Bombyx mori: one gene and its partner. The protein of the gene in region 1 purifies or fractionates together with the protein of each later gene. This does not show direct contact. Links are inferred from orthologs where the notes say so. Each region holds a gene or a part of one and is shown in the gene's direction. Other genes may lie near its edges.

The links.
Region 2: the proteins of tyrosine-protein kinase Abl (region 1) and neogenin purify together in Drosophila melanogaster (affinity purification with western blotting; 3 studies listed by BioGRID). This does not show direct contact. The link is inferred for Bombyx mori from reciprocal best matches to the Drosophila melanogaster genes Abl and fra.

What each region holds. Positions count from the first base shown.
Region 1 is NC_085107.1:86,125-89,952, reverse strand, and holds part of tyrosine-protein kinase Abl, read left to right. Parts: exon of another isoform or gene 1-68; intron 69-955; coding exon 956-1,106; intron 1,107-1,181; coding exon 1,182-1,338; intron 1,339-1,413; coding exon 1,414-1,511; intron 1,512-3,828. UniProt on the Drosophila melanogaster protein: Arm and Abl proteins function cooperatively at adherens junctions in both the CNS and epidermis; critical for embryonic epithelial morphogenesis regulating cell shape changes and cell migration.
Region 2 is NC_085108.1:149,535-153,362, reverse strand, and holds part of neogenin, read left to right. Parts: intron 1-31; coding exon 32-193; intron 194-1,567; coding exon 1,568-1,768; intron 1,769-2,276; coding exon 2,277-2,427; intron 2,428-3,242; coding exon 3,243-3,358; intron 3,359-3,551; coding exon 3,552-3,698; intron 3,699-3,828.

The sequences.
Region 1 (3,828 bases):
GCGGCGCGGCGCGGCGGGCACTGGCTGCGGAGAAGCGCGCGCTCTCTTTATACCGCGCGCCCGCCGGCAACATGCGACAAACACACGCGCCTGTCGCATACAGCCTGCTCACTTTTACTCGAGATATTTCTCATACTTTACGACAAACGGACAAATCCGATATTAGTTGATCGCGCATGTGACCTCCTTATATTATATTATAAAATTATACAAAGGACAGCGACCTAGTTTCCATTACATACTTCTCCATAAAGTTTGTACTGAGGGGTTAGAACGCGTAGATGCAACGAGTCTGGTAAGCTCCCTCGTTCGGGAAGACCTCGTGCGTCGCTGTGTAGACGTGGCCGATCCCACAGACAGGTTCCGGTGTAATTAAAAAAAAAACCCAATGTTCTTTGTATGGTACAAAATTCACACAATAATACAGTAGGTGCTTGTTGAATAAAACAGTTCATTCGATTGTAACGTTATAAATGAATTTCTTAAGCGACATTTTCAGACTTGTAGGTAATTGTTAAGTGAACGCCCTGTACTCGTCGACTCGCAACACATCGGTTTATTTATTTGTTTACACAAATATTTATTATACATTTTATGGTGACTGATTGAAAAATATTACAGTTTCAATTTGTCATTATATTTTCTTTTAATCAATGCGGGAGTGAAATCGTTTCGCTTTTTGCAAGTTTAATATTGGAGACATTTAAGAGATATGTACAAATTACAAGAAATTAAACAAAATATTAATTTATGGAAATGAGAGAAGTTGCACGTCGAGTGCTGGAGGCGGGGCGGCGGCCGAGCGCGCAACTTCACGTATCGTTACATAAGCCGATATCGATAAACAGAAACCATTGTTGCGCATTTGATGGTTTTTTTTTTGTCATTTACGTAATTGCTTACTCTTGGAGCTGCGCGTTAGAACAGTTAACGAAGGAAGCATGTGGTGGCGCAGGGGTACCGCATGGAGTGTCCCCCGGGCTGCCCGGCGCCCGTCTACGAGCTCATGCGCGGCTGCTGGCAGTGGAGCCCCTCCGAGCGGCCCTCCTTCCGCGAGATACACCACGCGCTCGAGCACATGTTCCAGGACAACTCGATCACAGACGGTGAGCGCCTCGTTACGCAACATGTACTCGTACTAACAGCGAGCGGCTGCTATAGATGTCAACGGTGTGTTTCAGAAGTAGAGAAACAACTCCAAGAAGGCAGCGGCGCGCAGGCCGCCGGCACCCCGCTGCTGTCGCTGAAGAAGACGAGCGCCGACCCTCGAGCGGTGCAGATGCGGCGCCCGACCAACCGCCGCGGCAAGCAAGCCCCCACCCCTCCCAAACGCACTAGGTAGCGCACCCGACCACAAGTAACTGAACACGACCCCCGCCACTCATCGACATACTCATCGACCGCGTGTTGCAGCCTGCTGTCCTCGTGCAGCTCCTTCCGCGAGTCGCAGTACGCCGCCGACGAGCACGCGCCCGACGACGCGCCCGCCGACGCGCTCGCCGACCTCAACGGTCAGTGTCTCACGCAGCGTCACGCGCCGTCACGCACTCCAACAACCGATATAGTGCAATAGTACGCCTCCGCTGTACACGGAGGATATTCATTACGGAATGAAGCGGCCATCGCTTTGTTTGTTTTTAGGTTCCATGTTAAAACTCATACCCGGCTTACTTGACGCTATAACGTTATTCGTCTAAATGACGCACTACAAGTATACCGACGCGACCCACGCGACCCACGTGACCCACGTGACCCACGCGACCGAGGGCGACTTTGTAGTGCGGTACTTACGCACATAGCTCAAGTCTTTTTTTTATTTTTGAAGATTGAATATTTTGGCACTTTGTACGACTGCCAGTCTAGTTCACAGAATAATGGTCCTCACACTAAAAGACGCAGGTATTGTGCATAATGGTCAGTTCATTCAGAATCTTCTTGACGGCAATGTATAAATAATATTAGATGCGGTTTAACTTACATACGTTTTTTAAATTTTATATTTATTTTAAAAATTATATAATTTCTAAAATGAAATTGACAAAAAGAACAAAAATACAACAAACCGCACGCAGCTCGAGATAGGGATCAGAGACCTTCATGGAAATGTTCTTCAAATTTGTAAGAAGAGTACTCATGTTTGTTAAAAGTGTACACACCGTCAATTATGCTTTTTGTTATAATATTTTTATGTACAAAAAACTAAAGTCAAATGTCCTCAATGTCTGTACGTATTGTACCATAACTCAATCTTCGGAAGTAAGATAGAATATAAGACGAGTAGGCTCTGAGGCCGCGCGCCGGCGACACACTGCTCTAAGATACTGTTTTCTGTTTGCCGTGTCTCGGTGCAGCGGCCTAGCGCTCGGAGCCCGCGCTCTGTAAGTATTCCACGGCACCTGCTGCTCTAGCCCTATCCCTGCTTAGTGTAAGATGTAGCTCCTCACACTCGAGTCTGTGTCGGCACCGCGCCGCGACCTAGTCTGCATGCTCCGTCCGGCGTGCAGTAGGAAGGAACGAGCGCCGCCGAGCCGTCCACGGGTCGTCAACAATGAAATTTGTAGCATCGCCAACATTAACAGCCTGCTAGCTGGCATCGGCGCAGTATTTTGACGCTTAGTTTTTTAATTTTTTCATCGAACAGTCACGTATGCTCCCTGTATATTCGTACATATGTACTAAATCAATATTGAGATGTTTGATTGTGATGTGAGTAATGAGTCTAAAAGGGTTCTATACATCATTAAGGTCGTACATGACTCCATCCTGTCTGTGAAACTGAAACAACTTCGACCCGGCTGTAATCCCTCCATCCTTAAAAAAAAGACTAGGCTCTCAATGCTACGCAGGAGACAGTATCTTTGTATGCCAAAAGAAAAGTCCACTGTCTGTCTGACGCCAACAGAATAAAAAACAGATTAGATAAAACAAAAATAACCTTACTTAAAATGACAATATCTGGAAATTTTGAATATATCATTTGACACTAATAAATACATATAAACATTACTGATATTTAAGTTAGGTCCGCTTCTTGACATTGTCTCAAACTGCTGGCACAATAATAATTCACTTAACTGTAGATTATAATTCAAAATTTTAAGTTAGATACAAAATGAGGAAGCGTAGGTATATTGCAACACGGAGCTGCGTTGTTATACGCGAACATTGAGGAACCGAGAGTAAAGGATCACTCTCATCCGCTCTGTCGTTGTCACGTTGTAATTGTTATGGATACTGGTGACGCTATTTGTGACAACCTGGGCGACTTAGACTTCCCACGTGTTCTCACAGCAGTTGAAGTGAATCTACTCGGCCTACTCGCAAAGAAAAATAATAAGAAAATAAAAAACAAGTAGCAGTATGACTCACCACCAAGTGTCTGCACTGATAACCCTAATGCTATCAAACTGACTAAGTGTAGGGAGGGTGGTCTAGTCCCCGTGTGCCAGCTCGAGCAACTGGCTAACGAATCGACTACTGCGCGATAAACGCACGGTACCAACCCACTCGACTGCGCCCCGCATCCTCTGAGTCTAGCCCTCTACGTGACATTTTTTTTGTGATTTTGTCAGCTGCTTAGCAAGAACAACTTGAGTTCCGACAATGCTAATGTTAGTGGACTGCGTCGACGCTGCGAAACTGGCAAACATTGTGCATTTTTCTACAAATTTCATAGTTGACGAATAGTATTTTACTTGATCTGTTCATTTTATAGTTTTCCTGATTTGGGATAGTTTAGTTTAGATTTGGTGAAATAGTGAAGTTATAATCCTTTTTATATTTTTCCCTCAATATAAATAATTACGTGACTTGAAAATAGCATGCATT
Region 2 (3,828 bases), on another chromosome or scaffold:
CCGGGGTCACAGTAGCTCGGTGTGCGCGCAGGAGGCCGCGAGTCCGCGTGGTCGATGCTGGTGAGCAACACGACGCTGGAGGCGCCGCCCGGCTCCCCGCCCCGCGACCCCCGCGCCGCCCCCGCCAGCCCCCCCGCGCGCGCCGCCGACGTCAGCTGGAGCCCCCCCGCCAAACCTAACGGGATCATCACAGGTCACTGTTCTCGATTAAACCAGTTTGTTGGTGATTTTTGTATAACATTACATTTTTATATTTAAATCAGCGGTCGAGGAACCGTTGTAAATTACCCCATGGGGAAAAATGACTTTTGGGGGGGGGGGGGTGGGGGAAAAACCGAAAAAAAGTCATTAAAATTAAAAAAAGGTTTTTTATGGGGGCTATGTATAAAATTTAAAGTAGTTTTTTCGTCTAATAATACAAGACAAGTATCATATGAATTATAAAATAACAAGTAATTATCATTTACTTATATTTTCTGTGATCTTTTTTCCTCAACTGTATATTGCATAATATATTACTATTATTACCGTTATGTATTATATTACTAGGTATTACATTGATAAATTGAATAAATTATGTATAAATAATTTTTTTGTTATTGTTTTCTTTTCAAGATTATCAGGGGGGGGGGGGCTATGAAAGATACTAAAAAGAAGCGATTTGGTTTTTTTTTGTTCTTTGCCATGGGATAATATCAACGTACACAACAATATTTTGGGGTAATAATTAAAAAAGTTCTCAGACCGCTGATTTAGATGTTCATTCATGGTCTAGTCTTATACGAGATTCGAACCTCGGTACAGTGGTCGCCGTCACACAGACTGCTGTCTCGCGTCGTAACTAAACCGCGTACAGGGTGTGACTTTATGAAATATAAATCAATGTCAACGCCGTGTCAAATATTTTATGCTCTATTATAGCTACCGCCACAAACTATAAACATTGTATATTTATGTTTGTATGTGCATTTATCAGTTTGAAACTTCGTGCTCCTGGGATGTTGACCTCGTGCGTCTACAAATTAAATCCTCATTTATGCCCTGTCTACAACACAAGCCCCGCGTCATTGTGACCGGCATAATATCAACAGAAGTACTCTCTTTTTTCGTTATCGGTAACTGTTCCCTTCACCCTGCAACCCAATTACAGCATAAACACATCTTAACTGTACTAGTAAAAGTGCGGAGTCTCGCGAGCTCGCAGGGTAGCTACCATGGGGTGGAATTTAGGACCCTACCCACTAAATGACTCCCCTGCACTTGGGCTCGCGGTTTGCTCCCAACATCGTGCGTTTCCTAGGCATGGGGATCTCGTTGGAGGTTCGGCTCCCGGTCCAATAAAAAATAAGGGGTAGCTACAATCATCCTGTCTATTTCTGCTTACAAAAAACAGCGCCTTGTACTTTCTCTAGGCCATAAATGGGTAGTATGTTTGGCCTCACTCGTGCGGGCTTACAATACGTCCCACCACCGGTGTATTTGAATAAATAAAAACAATAAAACATAAAATCAATGAACAATATCAGATTTCTAGTCTTCTCATGATTTTGGGTGTTTTTGTACATAGGTTACGTAATAATGTACGCGGCCCAGAGTGCGGTGTCGGGCGGGGGGGCGGAGTGGATCGCGGTGGGGGTCACGGGGGACCGCGCCCGCGTGCGCCTGGACCGGCTGCGGCCCCGCACCACGTACAGCATCAAGCTGCAGGCCAGGAACAGCAAGGGACTGGGGCCCTTCTCGCAGACCATCACCTACACCACCGCTATGGGTACGACAACTAACTACATATTTTATATTACTTTTATTGGTCATAAAATAACATCGACCCCGGCCCCTTCGTGTCCGCGTGCAACCGGACTACTCCTGCGGACCGGGTAGTCCAGTGCGACTAGGTGCGAGAGAACGAGATAGGAGATCGATTAACGCGACCATATCGGGGAATAGTAATAACCATTGAATAACAGATAGAAGTTTATTTATTTATTACTTAGATGGGTGGACGAGCTCACAGCCCACCTGGTGTTAGATGGTTACTGGAACCCATAGATATCTACAACGTAAATGCGCTACCCACTTTGAGATATAAGTTCTAAGGTCTCAGTATAGTTACAACGGCTGCTCTACCCTTCAAATCGAAACACATTACTGCTTAACGGCAGGAATAGGCTGGTAGTTTTAGTGCGAACTCATTTAGTCAATCGTTAGTGGTACCGGCGCGGCGTCCCCGATGTGTAAGGAGGGCGGGGCGGGTCGTGTTGACGTAGCGCGTTGTGCAGAGACGGGGGAGGGCGGAGGGCTGGCGAGCGCCACGTCGGCGTGGCTGTGGGCGAGCGCGGGCGGCGCGTGCGCGGTGCTGGCCCTCGCCGCCGCGCTGGCGCTGTCGCTGTGCTGTCGCCGCTCGCAGCCGCCGCTGTCCCCGGACACCAGGTGACGCACGCACTAAACCGTTCCACGTCCTTACGGATCCAACAGATCCAATAACCTTTGCGTTCGACGCCTTCAACTCTAACACTACGAGCAGGCTTAGGGACCCCGGTAACCGTACTTGTCGAACTCCGTAAAGAGGTCGACGTGCAACCTAATCCATGAATCAGCCCGCTGAGTTTCTCGCCAGATCTTCTCAGCGAGTCGCGATTCCGACCCGATATTAGGTTCATTCGCGAAGCAGCTGCTCTTGAGTTGTTAGGTTAGGTTAGGAGGAGGTCGGAGGCGCTCGGGCAGCTGTTCAAATCCCACCCCTCCTGGCTGAGCCTTTGCTCGCCCACTTGTCCTGGTGAAACTGGAAACGCCTCTTTAAAAGCCTCCAGAGGTTTTTATCGTTGTATCCTAGTAGATTCTTATTATAAGAGTACATTGTCCATAACTTATCGACAACAGAAGAACACGTAGCCCTCCAAGGTAAGCGCTCGCCGTCGCCCATACAGCCGGGTGATGCCAGATAAACCTCGCTCGGAAAAGGACATTAAAGGATTATCTCAAACGATACATAACTCAGCGGTCCCTTCGCAGACCCAGAGGCTTCAACCTACAAACTGGACCCCAAGTACACGTCATCAACTGTTACATTATTTTGGGCAATTAAAAATGGCATGGTACATACAGAGTGATTATTTTTAAGACACACTGAGCACCCGCAGACACGGTGAGCACACGTACGTCGTCTAGGACGCGACGCCAGGGCTTCGAAGCCAGGATATTACGTATTGTTACGAATGATACATAATATTTTCCTCAACTTGTAGTACGTATCAAAAGTCTTCTGCGTCGGCCGGCATCAAGCCCCCGGACCTGTGGATCCACCACGACCAGATGGAACTTAAGCACATGGATAAGGGCATACACGCGTCCGCCAGTAAGAGTAAGTGGCTCTCATGTCAGCTCTTTATCATTGACAAACAAAAAGTTTTGTAGCAAATTATAAAATAGATCAACACCAAAGTGTAGTTTCGAGATTTTAATTAATTACATGTTTCAATATTTAAAAAAGTCTACAATTGCTTAATTAGTCTAAAAGTTTAAAAAATCACTCCACTACTCCCCCCTTCCCCCAGTCTCGTCCGACAGCGTGGAGGGCTCGCTGTCCCTGCCCCGCTCGGCGCCGCGCCCCCCCGCCCCTCCCCCCGTGGAGTACGAGCCGGCGAGGGGGCTCCCCCCTCCCTCCTCGTTGGACCGCAGACACTACGTGCCCACCTATGTCGGTAAGTTAACGTTATACTGTAAGTCCGCAACCGTCCTCAACCTTTTCAGTGTCCCGGTCTGTAAGATAGTCCACAGCTTCCCGTGCCTCGTGTCCCGGCATCTCTCTTTTTTAACATTATCTAATTTTAC